Mus musculus: one gene and its partner. The protein of the gene in region 1 interacts with the protein of each later gene in a pairwise test. Links are inferred from orthologs where the notes say so. Each region holds a gene or a part of one and is shown on either strand. Other genes may lie near its edges.

Region 1 (10,629 bases):
AATATTGATCTAGCTGTTCATGGTTATAGTAAGGTCAATACTGTTCTTGGGGGTAGGGGTGTGGGGGGGTTTTGCTCTGATGTTGTTGAGACAGGGCTCACTATGGAGCTAAGATTGGGCATGAACTCCTTCTGCCTCTACCTCCAGAATACTGAGGTTAGCGATGCACCACCATGCCCACAGAATACCGAGGTTAGCGATGCACCACCATGCCTACCTTTTTTTTTTTTTAAATGACTGCTGCTTCTGGTTCCCCTCTCCCTATACTTTGCTACTTCCTGTCTCACTTCTCAATCTGTATCCACATCTGCCTTTTTCACTCCATAATGTATCTTTGAAGGATGAATGCATTCTTCTGAAAACTTAGGAAAGGAAAAGAAGCATCTACTATTTCCTATAGAACTCTATACTCCAGAGTAACCAAGTAGTTGATGAGGTTAAGGTTTTCTGTGTTAAAAAAGAAAAACACATCTCCAGAGACTTCATGACTCTAGGAAGTTATCAACAATGAATGACCTGTTAACACTAACGTTATGAAAATCAACTGTCTTAGTCAGGGTTTCTATTGCTGGAACGAAACACTACAACCAGAAAGCAAGTTGGGGAGGAAAGGGTTTACTCAGCCTTTAATTATGTGTGTACATATGTGTCTACACATATAGGTGCAGGCACCCACAGAGGGAGAGCTATCAGATCCCTGAGGCTGGAGTTAGAGGTGGTTATGAACCACCCAATATATATCTGGAAATGGAACGCTGGCCCTCTACTAAACCATCTTTCTAGTTTCCATTGCCAATGCTTTATAAAATAAAATCTCCTTTACAATTCACACTAAAATATTTACAACTGAAACAACACCTAGGATTTGCTTCAAACAGTCCATGGGGAAAGCAGGAAGATGAAGCAGCAGTAAGAGGGAGGGAATGAAAAATACTTCATCTGGGCTGGAGAGATGGCTCAGCGGTTAAGACTACTGGCTGCTCTTCCAGAGGTCCTGAGTTCAATTCCCAGCAACCACATGGTGGCTCACAACCATCTGTAATGGGATCTAATGCCTTCTTCTTGTGTGCATGAAGACAGAGTACTCATATACATTAGAATATATATAAATATATATATAAATAATAAAACCCAGGCAGTGCTGGTGCATGCCTTTAATCCCAGCATTTGGGAGGCAGAGGCAGGCAGATTTCTGAGTTAGTGGACAGCCTGGTCTACAGAGTGAGTTCCAGGACAGCCAGGGCTACACAGAGAAACCCTATCTCAAACAAACAAACATAACAAAAAACACTTCACTATGAATTTATTGTTAAAGGTGAATTTTACTTACTATAAATTCTACTTCTACATATTTTAAATTTTTTCTCTTAAAAGAAGCACGGTGGGCTGGAATTAGCCCTGCATACATAAGATGTGGTTCAATCGTTAACACGTCAAAAAGGAAACAAAACAACAGAATCATCCTGAAACTGTGGTTTACTGTCTTGGCATGGTATAATCCCAATGCTTTGGAGAGAGAGGAAGAATAGTTCAAGTCTAGACTTGGCTATCTATTACATTCGATATACATCACATCACATACATACATACATTGACACACATATACATACATATACATGCATACATAAGACAAAATAAGAAGAGAAGAAGGAAACTCCGCTTGGCTTTGTAATGTTTTCTAAATCTAAATTAAAGAGTCAAGAAAACAAAATTAAAAGTCAAGGTCCACTTTGATCTTTTTAAAATTTTAAACATTTCTACTTGTTTCTTTTGTGTTTGAGAAGTGTGGTGGTTTGTATATTCTTAGGTTAGGTCAGGGAGTGGCTATGTTCAGGTATGGCTCCCATGGACTCATATGTTTGAACAAACCTATGGGGACCAGAGAGTGGCACTATTAGGAGGTATGTTCTTGTTAGAGTGGGTGTGTCACTGTGGGCATGGGCTTTAACATCCTAGTCCTAGATGCTTGGGTAGTATTCTGCTAGCAGCCTTCAGATGAAGATGCAGAACTCTCAGCTCCTCTTGCACCATGCCTGCCTGGATGCTGCCATGCTCCTGCTTTGGCAATAATGGACTGAACCTCTAAACCTATATGCCAGTCTTAATTAAATGTTGTCCTTATAAGAGTTGCCTTGGTCATAGTGACTCTTCACATCAATAAAACCTTAAGAGAGAGAGGGTCCCATTTTCAGCACCTGTGGTAACTAACAACCGTCTTAACTATACTTCCTGGGACCCACTTCCTCCCTCCGACTCCCCAGGCATCAGACATATATATATATACAGACACACACTCATACACAAGAAAGGAAAAAGCTGTTTGGTCTTAAAAATGGTTTTTAAATCAAAATTAAGAAATGGGAATAAGAAATGGGAAGCTAAGGTCTACTCTGATTATTTTTTCATTTTTTATTTAAAAAATTTCCATTTATGGGGCTGGAGAAATGGCTCAGTAGTTAAGAACACTGGCTGTTCTTCCAAAAGACCTCGGTTCAATTCCCAGCACCCCCAAAGCAGCTCACAACTGTCTATAACTATAGTTTCAGAGTATCTGACACCTACACAGACAAACATGCAGGCAAACTACCATTGACCACAAAACAAACAAAAACAAAAAGACATCTAATATTTCTTTTTAAAAAAAGGTGGTGGGAGGGTAATTGAAGAGATGGCTCAGCAGTTAGAGTCACTCACTGGCTGCTCTTTCAGAGGACCCAGGTTCAATTCCTAGCATCCAAATGGCAGCTCGCTACCATATGTGACTCCAACCTCCAGAGATCCGACATCCTCTATGGCTTCCACAGGATACATACATTCAGGCAAAACACACATATACATAAAAATAAATACATCTTAAAAAAAAAAAAAACGTTTTCACTTTGTGTGTGTGTGTGTGTGTGTAGATGCCACAACATTGTCCTATCCTTCTACCATGTGAGTTCCAGAGATCAAACTTGGGTCATGAGGCTTGGTAGCAAACCCACTGAGCCACCTTACTAGCCCTTAGTCACTCTTTAAATGTCTTGAATTAGTGACTTTTCTGCTTTACCAAATGCCTGGTGAACACAACTGAATACTGACCTGAGGAGGTTCAAAATTTGGTCTCCACCAGTTCCCAATGCAGTCATCAATGACCCAGTCTTGCAGGACTCCATCTTGACGACCAAGTATCTGTGCAAAGTAATATAGTAATGAATACACACACCTGAGAATTCCCTTCTGGGTTCAGTTGTTTTGCCCAGTATTTATCTCTATGTTGACCAGTATTTCTTTTTTCCAACTGCCGTAGAATATTAGGACAGGCCGGGCACTGCCATGATGCCTGCACCTTTCCCCGACTCTGATGATCTTATAACACATCTGTTAAACCAATGAATCAATATCATACTAAAGAAACCCAGACAGTTTATGGGTATCTTTAATTTCTGCACCTAATGTCCCTTTTCAGGCCCAGGATCCCATTTAAGATACGATACTTATGCCATCAGTTTCCCCGAGGCTGCTCTGGACAGTGACAGTTATGATAGTTTGATGATCTTGACAGATTTGAGAAATGCGAGTTAGGATTTTTGAGTAGTATTTCTCAGTAACACTGAGATTCTGGCACGGAAGATAACAGAGGTAAAATGCCATTCTAATAGGATATCAAATCATATGAAAGGGTCATGTTATCAATATGATTCACTGCTAGTATGAACCATGATTACTTATCTGAGGTAATGTTTTTATTCCCACACTATCTGAGAGCTCAGATCAGTTTTCAGTTCAAACGGCAACCATTACCCGTCTTCCTTTTCCTCTATCAGTCTATTCTGCTCTGGCAACAGCCCAGTTCACAGCTGAGCACAAGGCCTTCTTTGGCCTGTCCCCTACAGCACTGCACATTCATGGTCTGATTATTATATCATTCCTGCCTTATTCCTTCATCTTGAAAGCAAACTTTCTCTATTGTCTCCTAAGAAATGGTATAAGACAGTACAGTTTTGAAATTTCTGCAAGAGTTTAAATAACTATTTTTTCCTACAGTTGCTTTACAGTGCATGTAGCGATCACAGGACAAGAGATCACAGGACAAGCGATTACAGGACAACTCTGTGGACTCAAGTTTCTCCCTCCCGTACAGGGGTTCTGGAGATGGAGCCCAGGTCGTCAAGCTTGGTGACAAGCACCTTTATTAACTGAGCCATCCCACCTGCCCTGCTAAAGTCTTCTAAGCGGCTCCTCGATTCACAGATACAGCACTTCCGCTATTACTCCGAGAGAATCATGATTTTTGTGACTCATTTAGCTTCCATTTTGGCTGAATTCCTTTTGCTTTTTTAGACTGTATTTTCGTAAAAAGGTCTCTTCACAAGCCAATGATATATCTGCTCATTAGGTGCAGGAGTTCTGACACAGCTATGCCCCCTCGTAAGACTTCAAATAAAATCACCTACTTTTCTTGGACTGGTCACTCTGCAGAGCAGAAATCTCCAGTCTTCTGCCCAGTACCACCTCTCAGCTAGGAACGGTACTGTTCTGTTCCACACTGACGGCTGCTCTCAGTCCTACTTCACAGCGTGACTCCTACACTGCTTACTAGTCAGGATCCAAGTTTTCAGATATTCTCCCCATCTCTTAAACATTTTACTGCTAAATGTTAGCTGGTTTAGTGCCCACTGACTCAGTCAATAGTCAGTCCTGGCACAACTGGACAGAATGGGAAAGACAATATATATCAATATAACCTTTATAGAGTCAACCAATCCAGCTGACGCACGGGCTCACTGGCCCTGGAAGCTAGCACGGGCAATCCCTCAGCCTCTCCGTTCTTCTCCGCTGCGTTTCTGACGGACATCCTGCTGAGCTCCATTTCTGCTGAGTCTGCTGTGGTGTGCTCCACAGCCTTCTGGCTCTCGCTTAGTTATGACTTCATCTTTTTGTTAAGGTCTCATTTTTGCATTCCATAAACACTACTGAATTTTATACCTTTAAAAAAAAAAAATGACCTTTCTCCTGACGTTTTGGTAGTTTTCAGAAGAACCAGAGGAAACGTGAGTAGCTTTCCTCGGAAACCGCTACCAAAGCGGCACCTGAGCATTATTGTTTCATCGACATTTTAGTTTATTTAGCAATTGGGTCTCACTCTGTGTGGCCCAGCTGGCCTAGAACTCACTATGTAACCTAAATGGTCTTGAACAAGATAATCCTTTGATCTCAGCTTAAGATCTCAGACATATTTATTTTCCAGAAAACAATTTATACTAATTCAGATTTAAGTTCTACTTACTGACTAAAAACTGCTCAAATTAAATTTATTTCTACAAGACACATGAGAATTTGATTATTTATTAAGTAGATAGTATTCAGATGGGCAATAGAATTGTGAAAGTGGTTAAACAGAAAAATACCTCTGTCATTAAGCGTTTTAGTCCTTCAACTTCATCTTCTCCTGGGTTAAGTTCCCCACCAGGTCTGTAAAAGTTAACAAGTTCACGTTACAATTGAATACAATTTGGGGATAACAGCAAGAACACAACTATCATCACTTCAATCGGGTAACTGAGAAGACACATTCCAGTGACATCTGATAAGCCATCAAAACAAGGGCCAAAGGTGGAGGCTGTGCTGGGAAGTTGAATCTATAATATTAAGTACCAGACCACTGTATACAATCCTAAGTTTAAACAGCAAAACTAGTGTATATATAATGAGCACAATCACTGGCCAACAATCCATGTCAGCCTCCTCAAAGGAAAGCTAGATTTAATGGAGTTTAGCAAACAAATACCCAGAGAACAGACTGCATTCTTAGATCTGAAGAATGGGGACATTTTCTTTTTTTTAAGAATTATTTATTTATTTTATGTATATGAGTACACTGTAGATGTACATATGGTTGTGAGCCATCTTGTGGTTGCTGGGAATTGAATCTCTGGTCCCCCATCAGATCTCATTACAGATGGTTGTGAGCCACCATGTGGTTGCTAGGAATTCAACTGAGGACCTTCAGAAGAGCAGTCAGTGCTCTTAACCACTGAGCCATCTCTGTAGTCCCGAATGGGACATTTTTCAAGACTATCAATTTAGTTTTGAGGCCTTTCTTTCTCTCTTTTTTTTGTTTGTTTGTTTGTTTGTTTGTTTGTTTGTTTGTTTTTCAAGACAGGGTTTCTCTGTGTAGCCCTGGCTGTCCTGGAACTCAGAAATCCGCCTGCCTCTGCCTCCCGAGTGCTGAGATTAAAGGCGTGCACCAGCACCACCCGGCAAGGCCTTTCTTTTTGGCACAATCTGACCAGTGGGCAAGTAAATATTTAGAGTCATAAGCTCAAGTGATTAAGCTACATGAAAACAACTGAATTCAGTAATAGTCCCATCACTTTGAGAAATCGAGTTTGGCCTAATGTAGCTCTATGGAAAGGAAATAAGCATTGTACTGGAGAAAAGTCTTTTCTTCAAAGACTCATTCATGGTACTGGTTTAAATAAATAAAGGTTAGACTTTTATTTTAAGCTGCATTAAAACAGTCATTTTTTACACGTTGTCCTGCTGTTATTTCTAACACTACTTACAATTTGAAGAAAGTTGTCCCCAGCTGCAGCAGGAGCACGTGGGGCAGGCGGTGTTCATGAACAATCAGAACCCCTTCTACAGTCCTTCTCATCCCAATCTTATCAAATTCCTCCCTCATGCGCTGAAATCTGGCTGCAACAGAGCTGTCCTTCTCATAGAGGGGCTCCTTTGTACCAAAAGTATAATTGGTAAGCGGGTACCTGTGAGCCAAATACAAACATTAGCATGAGAACCAATGCTCTTATTTACTTACCAGGACAGTTCAAAACAACACATACAGAAACCATACAAACACATACAAAACTACACTGTGCCAGACCAGTCAAAGCTTCGTAAGCAGCTATGAGAGAGCAGAGAGCAGGGTACTGCTGCTGCCTGATTCCTGAACCCAGCTCTTCCATTCCTCAGTCACAGACAACACTGCCCTAAGGTCCCTGAAATGCTTAGCCAAGTGTTTATCTATACTGGCTTTAGATCATTTCATGGCACTGATACCAGAAGTAGCAGCCTGGTTCCTCTGACTAATCTAGTTACAACTTCTATTAACCAACCTGTACTAACAGCTAATCTGTTTTCTCCTATGTGCTGAGCCACCACTGTCTATCAGCAGCTCTCTAGTTGCTTGCCTTTTAATATCTTTAAAAATGAGTGTTTGTACACATATATGTATGGTGTTCTACAATGTGTGTCTGTGCTCTCCTTTCACCATGTGGCTTCTGGGGAACTGAACTCACATCAACAGTCTTAGCAGCAAGCACCCCCATCCTTAGAGCCACCTCACTGGTGGTGCCAATTATTCTCTGTTCCTCCCAGTTAACAAATAGTCAAATTTTTCTAGTTCCTTTTTTGGATCAACTTTACTTCTTCAGTTTTTGGCTGCTTGTTTTTTCATAGAGCTGACCTGGAACTCACTTATTTATCAGGTTGGCCTTTAACACTGAGACCCACCTGCCTCTCCCTCCCAAATGCTGGGATTAAGGTCATGTAGTACCAGTGGCTTAGACCTGTTTTCTCTTTCCCTCTGAGCCTTGTGTAAGAGAACCCAAACTGTGACTTAAGGTGTCAGACTTCATCTTGCTTAGTAAAGATCAAATCCATATTTACACTGTACCACAGTCTACCTTGCAACCCCTTGAATATAGTTTTTTTCCCCAGTAAGAATATTTTGACTGAACATGGCTAATCCCAAAGTATTTCATCTACCAAAAACCCCTTGATATAGGCCTGGGAAGATAGTAAAGTACTTGTCAAGCAAACATGAGGACCTAAATTCAATCTCCAGCTCCCACGGTTGGAGAAGGTTTTGTGCACTGTCTTCTCAGATGCTGATTTCTATGCCCAGACACCTGGTTACAGTCCTGACAATGGCATGGCCAAGTACCTTCAGTCTCAATGTTATGTAAAAACTGGTTTCCATTACCTCTGATGCGTTAATAAAGAGCTGATCTGCCAATCAGCTGGGCAGAAGAGAATAGGGCAGGACTTCTGATCCCAGTATGTGGTCTCAAAAGGAGAGAGAGAAGGAAGAAGGTGGAGAGAGCAACCAGGGCCATGAGGACACACATGGACCAGACTAAGCTAGGGCGAGATTCAGACAAAAGACCATTTGGCTGGGTATTGGCAGCCTAGTTGAATTAGAATAGCTCAGAATCTGCATGGCATAGTGGCTGCGGCTTGTTAATAAGAACACCAAATCCTTTTATTCAGGATAAAGTGCACACTGAAATGTTTTGTCACTACCTGGGAGCAAAGGGGAGAGAGAGGAGGGGATAGAAAAACCCCCAGAACTACATTTACAACCTACCAAAAACAAACAATAAAACCCACCAACCAACACACACACACAATCTGAGCACAGTAGTCCCAATATTGTGGAGATGAAGACAGATGTATTTCTGGGGTTCACTAGCCAGCCAATCAGCCTAGCTTACTCTGCAAGTTCAAGGATGGTGAGGGACTCTCGTCTCAAAAAAAAAAGTGGGAAGGGAGGGGCTGGAGAGATAGCATACGTAGGCACACCTGCAAACACTACAAAACTAGGCTGCTGAGATGCTCATGTGTAAAGCACCTGACATGCAAACTGCATCTGAGGTCCAATCTCCAGAACCCATGCAAAGCTGGCTGCAGTCGGAACACCTAAAAGCCCAGTGCTCCCAAAGCAAGCTGGAGGGCAGACAGAAAAATCCCCGGAAGCTTACGAGTCAGGTAACCTGGCGCAGATCAAAAGAGACCCTATTCTCAAACAAGGTGGACTGGCTCCTGAGATTGTCCTGACTTCCACACATGTGCTGTGACTCGCACAACATACATTCACAAATGCTGTGAACACACACACATATACCCCACATACACAACTATATATATCTGCATGAATGCATATAGCACACATGTGCAACATGCACACACACACAAACCAAACCAAAAAACCCTCTTGACGGTAATAGACAACTACATACTCTCTCTCCTCAGTTGTTCTTGAGAAGGGAAATCAAGGTAGCCAAAAGGAAAAGATTAATTCCAGAGGTCAAATTCTAAACATAAAGTAGCTCTAAAATAATAAAAACATGCCATTTTCAGGGGACTTTAAAGACTATCAACACTTTTGCGGTAGATCCAAAAATGAATCTTATACCAACAATATTAGGAAGAAGTTACTACACACAGTTTTATGTACTGTACAATGCATTACATGAGTTAACTTTTGGTTTCCCCAACCTACATTACAAAGAATTGAGACTAGCCACAACACATTTCTATTGCAAGGGCTATCTCCTACATCCCAGGATCTCAGCAGAACGAAATGTTCCAATTTCTAGCTGTGAAATCTGAGCAGCAGCCCACAAAGAGCATATTCTCCCCCACATCATACTGTAGGCATCTTAAAGCAGAGTGTGCATCTACACACCGGGCCATGTGCATGCACACAGTGGTACACTGGGACCCATCCAGTGTTTCCTGAATGGGAATGGACTGCAGAAACAAAAGATGTACTTGCTACTTAATGGGTAACCCCCTCAGGTGAACTCAAGTTCACAGCACAACAATTTTACTTCTCAACACTGCATTTACACAGGAAGCAAAAGTTACGTGCTCAACCTGCAAAACCGCCTGCTCAAAGTACATGGATTTCAACAACTCTCCCCAGTGGCTGCTGTCAACAGACACAGTAATCAAGGAGAGTTTAGAGAAGACCTATGGTGAAGTCATGCTTCCAATTTTTCACTTTTTTGAGGTGCTGGCGATAGAATCCAGGGCATTCCACACACGAGGCAAGCCCACTACCAGTTAGCAAACAACTCCTGTGCTCCTCCACTCTTTTTAAAGGAGCACTCGCCTCTCCCATTTTATGGGAATCTTATAAGCACTTAAGTGACAGAAAATTAAAGTGCTACTGTGAATTGTGGGACAAAAGTAAATTTGCACAGACACGACTGTCAACTATTTCCACATTTTATAAACCTTGCATTTCATTACCGAAGTTTGCGTGCCATTACTTGTTTTGTCAAAAACAATAGTAGTAGTTGTTCTTGAGAACAGTTCTCAAGAGCTCAACAAGTTTTCAACTTCATGTCACATTTAGTTTTAGGAGGAATGGTTTATTTACTTGAATATGAGAGATTTGTTTATTTATTTGAATATGAAAGGTGAGTCACTAAAATGACTTACACAAACCCCACTCTCAGCAATGTCTTGCACATTTTAAACAAATAACCAGTCTAAACTGGACACTTTTTTCCCATTAGAATCAGCTCCACACTAGGGAATGAGGTACCAAACATTATAAGCTATATCCCAATCTCAATTTCTTGCCACAACAAAATTTTGTTTGAGTGATCCCGAAATGCAATCATCTGCTTAAGACAAAGGTTTGTTGAAAACAAAACAGCCTGCAAACAGGCTGTCGGGACAACATGTAAGGTACCTCCGACCTCTGAAAGTACAACCAGACAACAGAGTGTGTCCTCGCAATTTTAGGTCTACTGGGAGTCTGCAATGATACTGTATGTTGGCACTTTGGTAGACAAGACATACAAATGCAAAAAGGTAGACCAAACAGCGCGAAAATTAATAAAATGTGGC
Region 2 (11,175 bases), on another chromosome or scaffold:
ATGGGCCAGGAGACCACGAGACCATGAAGGTGGCAGGAGGGAACATGCCCATAGCAACCAACCTTGGGTCAGTTTTCAAAAGAGCCACTCAGAGTGGCCAGTTCTCTCTGTCCCTGGTTCCCCTCCCACTGGCTGTTAGCCCCCACCCCCAATCTAAATAGCAAGAACATAGCAGAGGCAGAAAAGTTCTCAGCTACACCTACAGTTATGGTCAGCCACTGGCAGGAGGAGAGGTCAGCTTTGGGTTAGGGTACCTCCACGCTGTCCAGTAGAGGGATGGAAAAAGGACTTTTGTTTTAGCAGCAGAATGGGGCAGTTAGCTCAACCCTGCCCCCGCCAACTCTAGAATCACCATCAGACCAGCCTTCCCTACAAGCTGGTGAGCGTTCCCAGACACCAGCACCAAGACCCCTGTAAGTCAAATCTCAGAGACCATTCTAGGAGAGGAGGTACCACACCCCCAAACTGCATTCCTCATTGAGGAATTTCTCCCCTCCCAAGCCAGCTCCATGCAGAGTCATGCCAGGAGTAAGGCAGATGGTAGTAGGGTATGGCCAGAGGCTAGAGCACAGGTTGGGAAGGAAAAAAAAACACTAGGGAGATAACTAGAGGAGAGGCTGGGAGGAGCCGTACCCGCCCCATGGGCCCGTCACCCCGACAGGATATGCCTCACAAATGCTGCAGGAAGGAAGAGACATTAATGGTGAAGACAAGACACAGACATGGGGTGAAGGGGTCAGGCAGTGGAACAGACATTCTGTTTACGTCCCATTCCTAGCCCACCCTCCGTCCTCCATCACCCCCCCCTTTACTGCTGTCTCCCCAACAGTTCCCTCCCAGGCTGGACTGAGCCTTGCTTGCCCCTTTGACTCCCGACTCCCTTCTGGAACCAAGTCTAGGAATACAATGCCTCTTTAACATCTCCTGAACGACCATTTCCTCACAGGCCCCAGTTTATGGTCTGCCCCTCACCTTCATAGTTGATGCAACCATTGCTGTCCTCATGCCCCGCCACTAGCATCTCTACTTCTTCCTCTGTCATCTTCTCGCCTGCAGAGGAAGGAACATTCTTAGAACTGAGTGACTGACGGGTGAAATATATCAGGTGGCAGCTCAGCTCCAGAAAGGTCACAGACCCTTACCCAGTGTGACTAGGACATGACGGATTTCAGCACCCATGACGGTGCCATTTCCTTCCTTGTCAAACACACGAAGGCCTTCAACATAATCCTCGTAGGTTCCCTGGTCCTTGTTCTTGGCCACGGTCTGCAGCATGGGCAGGAAGTGCTCAAAGTCCAGCACCTTCACATTCATCTCTGTCATGTGGGAGGTGGAGGTGTCAGACAAGAGAAGTCACACATGTTCTCAGGACATGACGGTAGGGAACACAAGGACGGCCAGAAGAGGGAATCAGAACTGGATGAGACAAAACTTGCTCAAGTTTGGCACCTATGCAGATAAAGGGATGACTTTAGCTGAACAACCATGAACCCACTACATTCTTGAAATGCTCACCATCACTCTTGGGGTTCCCTAGGACCTTGAGCACCTCGGCGTTGGTAGGGTTCTGGCCCAGGGCCCGCATCACATCCCCACACTGGCTGTACAGGATCTTGCCATCACCTGTTCGGTCAAACAGCTGGAAAGCCTCCTTGAATTCTGAGGATTCAGAAGAACGGCAGCACCAGGGATTAGCCCCGTGCTTGCTGCACAGCTCTGCTGCCAATTCAACTTAAGTCATGCTGCAGAAACCAGATATCTTGTCCTCCTCTATACACAAGACTACTCCTAGGGATCTATTTCTATCAACTCAAATGCCCCACATAAAGACAGGCAACCTTCTTTCCCTTACCTTAAGGTGGTAGCCATCTGTTTACACACCCCCTGAGCTGCGGCAGGCTAGGCTCTCCACCACTACTATACAACTCCGCAGGAATCTGCCACCGCCCAGGCTAGGTCCTGCCCATATAAGGAAGTAAGAGCCTGGACTCTAGCCTCCCACTCCCACCCTTCCCCTCCGGGAGACCTTCCAAGAGGTGAAGCCACATCCTTAGCAAACTCTCCAGTGCCCATCTTAACAAAATATCAAGGCACTGCCCTCTACAGTACTCAGAATCCAAGCTTAAGGAGGGGACAGTTATCAGAGGAGAGGCAAAAAAAGAAGCAGCAAACCACAAGCGTAATAGACCCGACACATAACAGGCACTAGTCAAATTGTTTCACACACCCACACCACCTAAAACTCACCCAGCGCTTGGGGCTCAGATCTGGAGTGGAAGGGGAAGGAAGAAAGAATGAGAAAAGAAAATGGAGGATCTAGAGCAGAAGGAAATCCACGGGGCACTCTCCTGGGAGCGCTGGAGGTGACAGGTTGGGATCAGAAGATAGATGCTAAAGGAAGGGGGTCCCTCTCGGTAAGGATGACCTGAGCTGCGGGTCAGAGACTGCCTACCTGCGGTCTGGTCCTCGGTGAAGTCACACTGCTCGGAGAAGAAGGGATTGGTCAGTTACCTGAGGTCCAACCCCGCAAGCTTCTATCCCGGCTTTACAAACTCCTGTTTGAAGCCGAGGATTCGCTTCCCAGGGCAAAGCCCTAGACATTCCAATCCCACAGCCAACCTTCCAAAACCTGGGCGTGCCCACGTCCACTGCTTTCTCTACTCCCACCCGCGGTCCTCTCCTTGCCCCAAATCCCCCTGATCTCCCGATTCCCAGGGCCCACCATCTTGGCTGCTGAGCTCTGCTGGACCTTTTCCGGCAGTAATGGCTCCGACGCCCTACCCAACCCCAGCCTTAGTACGTCCCATGGCGCATGACGTCACCCTCCGCCGTTTCATCCAATAGGCACGCTAGTCTGGGCTCATGCAGATGACATCACTACATTATTAATGAGGTGGGGGGGGGGCGCCCTACCTCGGCTCAGGAATCTAGCAGGGGGGCCTGGGTTGGGACTCTCGGAAACCTTTCTTCCGAGCTGCACCAAGAGCAGAGGATTTGGGCTTTTGCAGAAGAGAGGACTACCCGCTCCCGTCCTTCCTCTTTCTCAAAAGAAAACTGTCGGAAACCGAAGCAGGAACCATGTTTTTATTTCAAAACTGTAAGTGCCCCCTAGTGGCAGGAACGCGCTTCTGGCCGCACAGGAGGTGGGGCAAGTTTCCGTCGCTGCAGGTTCTACGTGGGGTGGGAGTCGGGGCTGGGGTGGGGTGGGGGTGGGAGGGGGTGGGGGGTGGGGAAGGAAATAGTCCAGCCCTGGCGGCTGCGCTACGGACGGGCGCGGAGACGCACTGCCTGCGCTTCTATCTGGTGGATCGAGGACCCTTGCCTCTCAAGCGGATACCAGGGGCTGGCTGGAGGGCCACCTGCGGAGCTCAGAGGCTTAGGATATGCTTCAGGAAGGCTGCACGAAAGGAGACGAGAGGACTTGAGAAACTGACCTTCGGGTAACTGAGGGTACTCCCACCCCCCTCAAGTCTCCTTACTCCCTGGCCATCCTGCCCCCTCACCCTCATAGTTGATGCAGCCGTTGCTGTCCTCGTGGCCTGCCAGAACAGTCTCTACCTCTTCCTCAGTCATCTTCTCTCCTGAACCCAAAAACAGTTAGAGTCCCCCGCCTTCCCTGCCTCACCAGCCCAAGACATTCTCAGGGTGGTTCATCCTCCCACCCTTGCCCTTTTTCATATCAACGGTGCCTTGGAGCAGGTGAAAGCTTTGACTTGACAGCGAAACAAGCTGCCGGGGTTGAGACTTGCATGGAATCAACACAATTGTGGCTTGCAAAGGGGGACATTGCATTCCCTGCCCTTGGCTCATAGCTGGACACTTTAGCCTCTAGGTGATCTGTCTCCACAATGCTGGCCCTCTTGAGTCTCCTGCCCATAACTGCAGGACCATAAACCCATTCTAGGCTCTACTTAGCTCTTCCAGGACCCCCCACTTCTCCACCCCACAGCTCTGGGCCCTGCCTCACCGAGAGTGGTAAGAACATGTCTGAGCTCTGCACCCATGACCTTGCCGTTGCCCTCTTTGTCAAACACACGAAGCCCCTCTAGGTAGTCCTCATATGTGCCTTGGTCCCGGTTCTTGGCCACTGCCTGCAGCATGGGCAGGAACGTCTCAAAGTCTACACGTCGGGACTTCAGCTCTGGCAATTAGATAGAGATGAGAGAGATCAACTGAGGTGTGGGATCCAGTGCAATTAGATAGAGATGAGAGAGATCAACTGAGGTGTGGGATCCAGTGCCATCCAACCCTACTATTGTGACTTTCATCCCTTTCAGCATTCAGGATGTTTCTCTTCCCTGTGTTTGACGTTTTTTGAGTCCTGAGGTCCATCCTAGCGTCCTCTGTCACCTTACCAATATTCTGTCATTGAAAATTGAAACTGTTGCCAGGCCTGGTGGTGCAGTTTTGTAACTACAGCTACCAGGCAAGTTCAAAGCCAGCCAGAACAACTTAAGACTGTCTCAACAGAAAGGAAAAAAAAAAAAAAAGGAAAGGCAGGGATGTAGCCCAGTGGCTGGACACACTCAAAACAGAAAGAGAGAACCACTAAGCCCACACACCTTCAGTCCCAGCATTCAGAGGCAGGGGAAGTCCCTCTTGAGTCTGAGGCCAACCTGGTCTATACAATGAGTTCCAGGCTAAGCAGGGCTATATAGAGACACCCTATGTAGTAGTAATAGTAGTAGTAGTGGTGGTAGTAACAACACTATCTAAACAACAATAATAATAATTAAAATTTAAAAAGAAAAAGAAAACTGGGGATTGGGGCTGCTGGGATAGAACTGTAGGTCCCTGGCCAACCTGAGTAATTTGGTGAGCACCTGTCTCAAAAAGTAAAAAAAAACAGTACCTCTGTAATAAGGGCTTGCCTGGCTTGCCTGAGGCCCTGGATTCAACCCAGCACTACATAAACTGGAGTAATCCCACCACTCTAGTGGGCAGTAGCAAGAGGTGGAGATAGGAGAATCAGAATGTAAGGTCATTCTTGGCTGGGATACTGAAATCCTATCTTGAAAGAAAGAGAGAGAGAGAGAGAAGAAAAAGAGGAAGAAGAGAAAGTTGCTGGCTAGAAATGTAGCTCAATGGCCCAGGCAGAACCCTGTATTCAACGTTCAACACCAAGAAGAAAACAGAAACCCCCACAAAACTCAAGGCTCCTCTCACCCTCGTTTTTGGGGTTCCCCAGGACCTTGAGCACCTCGGCGTTGGTAGGGTTCTGGCCCAGGGCCCTCATCAGGTCCCCACACTGGCTGTACAGGATCTTGCCATCACCTACTCGGTCAAACAGCTCAAAGGCCTCTCTGAATTCTGAGATGTAAGGAGAAGGCAGTGTGACCAAGGATCCCCATCACCAACAGAGAGAGGGAGGTTTGCTTCAGAAATTCATGTGCTAGAGCCAGGCATGGGAGGGAGGAGAACAGGACAAGTGTGGGAGGTTTCAAGGTCAGGACTGTCGTTAGAACAGAGAATCTGACCAGGAGTTTGGGGTTTGACAATGGGGCTTAGGAAATGGGCTTCTCCTCACCCTCCAGCTGGTCCTTGTTAAACTCGATCTGTAGGGGACAAAAAGGGCAGGTGAGGAGATGACAGGGCTTATTCAGTCCCTCTCTATCACAACCAACTGGCAGCCACTTCTGGGGAGGGACCCAAAGGGATGAAGGCGGGGAGCCGGGCCACTTCAGTCCTGTCCCCAGCTCTGGGCCTTGGGAGAATCCCAAGAGGAATTACAGGGGGAGGGTTTCTTGGGAACAGGGTTAATCCCATGCCACCTGTTCCCTTCCCTCCTGCTACCCCGAGTCCTGCATCCCTCACATAACTGGGGGCTGAACAAAGGCTAAATTTACCCCTGCCCCCAGCTGTGATTGTCTAACAAGCCTGCCCTCTTCAGTCTCCCCTCCTGGGGTTCAGAGATGTAGCCTTCTGAGTTGAACAGAAGAGCCAGAGGCAGACAGCACCCCTCTCCCTTCACTTCGGAAACTGGCCTGACCTGGGAGCCCCAACCTCATTCCAGCGTTCATTCATTCCCTATCCTTTCCACATATTCCCGGATACCCAAGGCTGCACCGCATCTCTGAACTATCCCTTCCAGATTCACACTTCCCCAGGACTCACCACCACTTTGGAGAGATCAACAGGGGGCTCCTGGGATTTTGCAGGTGCCTGGGGGGCAGCCGGCTCAGCCTTGGCCTTGGCTAGAGGGGTCCCTGGTGTAGACTTGGCAGCAGGCTTAGAGATGGAGGGCCCTGCTGGTTTCTTCACGGGAGCATCCTTCTTGGGAGGCATGATGTCAGGTGGCCAAAGAACAATGTGCTGATGGGGGCACCCATCTCTGTTTAAATAGGCAGGGAGTCTGGGATGTCAAGGGGCGGGGGCAGCAGCAGGGACAGGGAGCCAGTTGGCAAGGGTGAGGGGGAAGAGACTTATGCCTGTCTGCCCTCACTCCCCTGGCCTCCTATGGTTCAGGACTCCTGCCCCCAAAGTTTTCTTCCCTCTGATACCACTCTCCTACAGCTGAATAGAATGTTTTCTTTAAGGGTACAGAGAAGAAACACGAGACCTGTCAGAATAGGGATTGTTAACCTCCAGGGTGAAGATAGGATGTTTGCCAGTGATTCTGAGATAGGAGCTAAGGGGAGAAAGAAGAAAACTAAAGTAGAAAAACAAACAAAAACTTGCATTAGTTTTAGACCGTGGGAAAGCCCAAGCAAAGCAAGGGCTTGGGGTGGAGTCGGGGTAGAGGGGTGGGGGGCTGGTATCAGGTGGGAAGTTTTAAAATCTGTTCTGGAAACAGTAAAAGGTGAGAGGAGGCCTTTGCACTCCCTTCTGTCTTTTCCCGTATCCTTAGAACTTGTAATCCCTGGGCCCCCACCTACCCCCAACCTTAAACTATGCACAGTAACTCGAGCGTGTTATTACCCACTGACTTCTATACCTAATGTTGGTTTAGGGGTTCCAGTGTAGGCAAGGCTTAACATCTGTCACACATAATTCCAAAGAAGGAACATTTTTCAACAAGACAATGTTATTCAAATCAAACAAAAGGCTATAATGCCTAGTGAGCATGGAGGGAACACACACACACACACACACATGGAGGGGGCCCTGGGAGACAAAGAGCCCCCTAATAACCCAAAAGGTTACAGGACCTCCAAAGGAGTTCATAGGTATCCACACGGACACACCATTGGTCAGGATCACATCAAAAACCTTAGCTGAGCTTTGAGTCACAAACCTTGCTGGAAGCGCTGATGAAGGGAAAAGATGATGTTTGGGAGCTAGGAGGTTCTGGCTACTCTGTTCTTGGATAAAGAAGAATTACATGGCATTCTGAGAGACTGGTCATTCCACTTAGGCCCTGGAGTTCGCAGAGTAGCAGTGGGTCTCCCATTTGCAAAAGGGCGTCAGAATCTTTTTACTGCAAATTGTCCCATTTTTGGAAAATAAAGAATCCTTCCTAAACAAAACGCCCGTTTCCCTCACTTTCACTCACTCCTAAGCCCTAGAGAGGAAAAAGACCCTCCCAGCCCCTCAAAACTCACCTTGCCGGGTCCGAGGAAGGGGCAGGTGGGGGGCGGGACTCAGGGCAGCTCCTGTCCCTGAAGGGTTAAGTGCGGCTGCCGCAGAGCATGCTGGGAGTCGTAGTCCGCGAGCACCCGCAGGCTCACAGGAAACCTTTTCCCAGCCGTGAGAGTTGGTGGTGACTTCCGGCCCCTGGTGACAGTTGGTGACTCAGGTCCTGAGGCGTGCGCCGGTTCCGGAATTGAAAGGGCCTGAGCTGTCCCCACCCATGACCCTGCGGCTGCAGACCCACAGACGCCCGCAAGGCTAGGGGCGGGGCCGGCCCGGGCGGTGGGAGGGGCCGGGCGGTGGGCGGGGCGGCAGCGGGGGCTTCCTCAGGCTGTTAGCTGCGGAATGGTGTAACTTGGCAGAGTTTTGCGTTTTATTTATTTATTTATTTATTTATTTATTTATTTATTTATTTATTTCACATTTGATAGTGGTCGAAAGACTGACTGAAGTAGATGTTAAGATTTACAATTTAGCCTGGCCATCTGCTTCCACTCTCCTCCTTGTGGAGGCGTCTGCTGAGGCCGCCAATGCACCGCGGTCTCCCCCCCCCGAGATACCCAACAAATGCAACGCTGGGCTCTGCAGTCCTTCTTTACCTTTCCGACACCATTGCCCAGCCTGAGTATTTGCACTTTCTCCCTGGAGTTTAGCAAATGTCTGAGTGCAGAGAGGGAACCGGCCCACCGTCCCGAAACAGACGAATAAATAACTCTGGCGGCGCGCCTCATACTAGAGCTTGTGCAAGCAAGTGGACCAGAAATAGCTCAGGGTAGAAGACTCCCAGCGGCGCCATAGGAAGAATGAGGCACAAGCCAATTTTGTACCCTGAAACGGACATTCCCCGGCTGGAAAAAGCTTGAGTAAAAAGGTCTGTACGGGTGCAAGGGATGTAGCACAGTTGGTTGCACAAAGCTCTGGGTCCCAGCACTCAGGAGGTGGAGACAGGAAGAATCAGATGTCTTTGGGACGTAGGGACTTCGGGCCAGCCTGAGCTACATAAGATCCAGTTTCAGAGCAGAAAGGGAAGGGACGCCTGAGAGCTTGTCTTAAACTAGAAAGCAAGAACAAGAAAGCAGTCTTGGTGATAACACAAATGTAATCCCAAGTCGGGGGGTGAGGGGGGGGGGGGGACAAACGAGCCTGGGCTATACAGTGAGACTCAAAACAACAGTGAATAAGGGCTGAAGTTAGAGCTGGCTGGCAGAACAATTGTCTACAACCGTTCAGGTTCTGGGTTCAGTCTCCATCACCATTAAAAAGGATTCCCACCCCCCCTGGTTTGTTTGTTTGTTTGTTTGTTTTGTTTTTTGTTTTTTTGGTTTTTTGAGACAGGGTTTCTCTGTATAGCCATGGCTGTCCTGGAACTCACTTTGTAGACCAGGCTGGCCTCGAACTCAGAAATCCACCTGCCTCTGCCTCCCGAGTGCTGGGATTAAAGGTATGTGCCACCATGCCTGGCTGTGTTTTATCTTAATAGATATGTGGTCCGGTGTGACTTTTTTGTTTACGTTTTTCAATGGCCTCAGTCTGCTGCTGCACTGGCTAGCCTGCCCTGCCTCCCTGTTACTCTGTGTTCTAAGGTTCTTGGGGTCTAACCCAGAGCTTTCTGCATGCCAGGCAAGCGCTCTACCCTCGTAGCCCTGAAAGGAAAGAAGTGGTGATAATCACACAGCAGTGTATCACTTCAGAAACTTGAATAATTGTGGGTTCACCCTATACAACTAGATTTTGTGTTTGTTTTATTTTTATTTTGAGACAAGGTTTCTCTGCATAGGCTTGGCTGTTGACTTTTGTCTTTTTTATCTATTTTATTGAGAGTTCTTATACTATTCTCTCCCTTCTAACCCTCCCCCCCGCCCCAATACAACATGAGGTAGGAGAGAAAGGCTACAGAGGAAAGAGGACGAAGACCTCCACAGGCTTCTTCCTTGGTTAGGTTGTGGTGTTCCCAGGGGCAAGTCAGCATCCCAGCAACAGCAAGGGGAGCAGCTGCCGTAGGCCTTCTAGGGGCCCTTGTATTAATATCCTCTCCAGAGTCTCTAGAATTAAACTATCTGCAGATGGCAAAACCATGCCCCTCTTGGAGCACAAGACAATCATAGTGGCTGAGGACAAACTGAAGAAGCCCCATATCCCACACTTGGGCTTAAAACAAAAGCACATAACATGAGGGGGTTTTAAAGAAACCAGAACTCTCAGTACACCCACCTGTCCTGGGCTCGCTCTGTAGACCAGGCTGGCCTCAAATTCCCTCAGAGAACCAGGCCAGCCACAAACTTAGAGACCTGCCTGCCTCTGCCTCCCGAGTGTGGGGATTAAAGGCGTGCGCCACCACTGCCCAGCTGGACATTAACTTTCTTTTTCTTTTTTTTTCTTAAGATTTATTTATTTATTTATTATATGTGAGTACACTGTCACTGTCTTCAGACACTCCAGAAGAGGGAGTCAGATCCCATTACAGATGGTTGTGAGCCACCATATGGTTGCTGGGATTTGAACTCAGGACCTTTGGAAGAGCAGTCAGTGCCCTTAACCACTGAGCCATCTCAGCAGCTCGGACATTAACTTTCTAAGTCAACAGAAAAAAAAAAATTGATAGCAAAGATAAGTGTGCTGGCCAGGCTTTTTTTTTTTTAATTCTTTCATATACTATATCTCAGCCTCAGTTTCCCCTCTCTCCCCTTCCCCTGTCCCTCCCCCACCACCTCCCCTCTCCCCCAGATTTACTCCCCTCCAGCTTCCCTCAGAAAAGAGCAGGCCTCCCAGGGACATCGATCAAATACGGCATATTTAAATAGGCACATCCATCGCACCACATCAAGGTTGGACGAGGCAATTCAGTAAGGGAAATGGTCCCATAAGCAGGCAAAAGAATCGGGGACAGCCCCCACTCCCATGGTTAGGATTCCCACAGAACCACCAAGCTACTCAGACATAACACAGAAGCTCTGGCTAGTTTTTATGTCAACTTGACAGGAGCCAGAGTCATCTGAAAGGAGGGAACTGCAACTGAGAAAATGCCTGTCATAAGGTAAGTAGGCAAGCCTGTAGGATATTTTCTTTGTTTTTTTTTTTTATTAATGTATTCACTTTACATCCCAATATCCGCCCCTCCCCCACATCCCCTGGATATTTTCTTAATTAGTGATTGATGGGGAAGGGCCCAGCCATTGTGGGTGGTGCCATCCCAGGGCTGGTGGTCCTGGGTTTTATAAGAAAGCAGGCTTGAGCGAGCCAGTAACCACACCACTCCATGACCCTGCATCAACTCCTGCCTCCAGGTTTCTGCCCTAACTTCCTTGCTGGACTGACAGAACCTGGAAAGGTAAACAGAACAAACCCTTTTCTGAGTTGCTTTTCCTTATGGTGTTTCATACAGTAGTAAAAAAAAAAAAACCTAAGACAGGAGTTGTTACCGGGACCGGGGGCTGTGGCTGTGACAGAGATGCCTGGCCATACGTGTTTACTGTTCGATGTTTGAGGGTTGTGGCATTTGAGCTCTGGGCTGGGAAAGCACTGAGTGCTCAGAGCACAGTGAGATGCTCTGTGGGAGCTTGGAAGATACAAATGTCCAAAGCAGTGCAGAACACAGAGGCCTGGCCT

Evidence for each region.
Region 2: the proteins of Nudt21 (region 1) and Myl6 interact in binary tests that used the Homo sapiens proteins (3 or more experiments, as listed by UniProt). The two-hybrid records come from large-scale screens. The link is inferred for Mus musculus from reciprocal best matches to the Homo sapiens genes NUDT21 and MYL6.

The regions. Positions count from the first base shown.
Region 1 is NC_000074.6:94,025,754-94,036,382, forward strand, and holds part of Nudt21 (cleavage and polyadenylation specificity factor subunit 5), read right to left. Parts: intron 6,750-10,629; coding exon 6,549-6,749; intron 5,455-6,548; coding exon 5,391-5,454; intron 3,172-5,390; coding exon 3,082-3,171; intron 1-3,081. UniProt on the Homo sapiens protein: Component of the cleavage factor Im (CFIm) complex that functions as an activator of the pre-mRNA 3'-end cleavage and polyadenylation processing required for the maturation of pre-mRNA into functional mRNAs.
Region 2 is NC_000076.6:128,491,087-128,502,261, forward strand, and holds the start of Myl6 (myosin light polypeptide 6), read right to left. Parts: upstream 2,801-11,175; 5' UTR 2,726-2,800; coding exon 2,723-2,725; intron 2,481-2,722; coding exon 2,453-2,480; intron 2,268-2,452; exon of another isoform or gene 2,248-2,267; intron 1,960-2,247; exon of another isoform or gene 1,853-1,959; intron 1,660-1,852; coding exon 1,516-1,659; intron 1,317-1,515; coding exon 1,143-1,316; intron 1,051-1,142; coding exon 973-1,050; intron 679-972; coding exon 650-678; 3' UTR 634-649; intron 262-633; coding exon of another isoform or gene 212-261; exon of another isoform or gene 204-211; intron 1-203. Other genes in the region: Myl6b (myosin light chain 6B), read right to left, coding at 3,369-3,397, 3,504-3,581, 3,968-4,141, 5,167-5,310, 5,528-5,555, 6,115-6,285. UniProt on the Homo sapiens protein: Regulatory light chain of myosin. Does not bind calcium.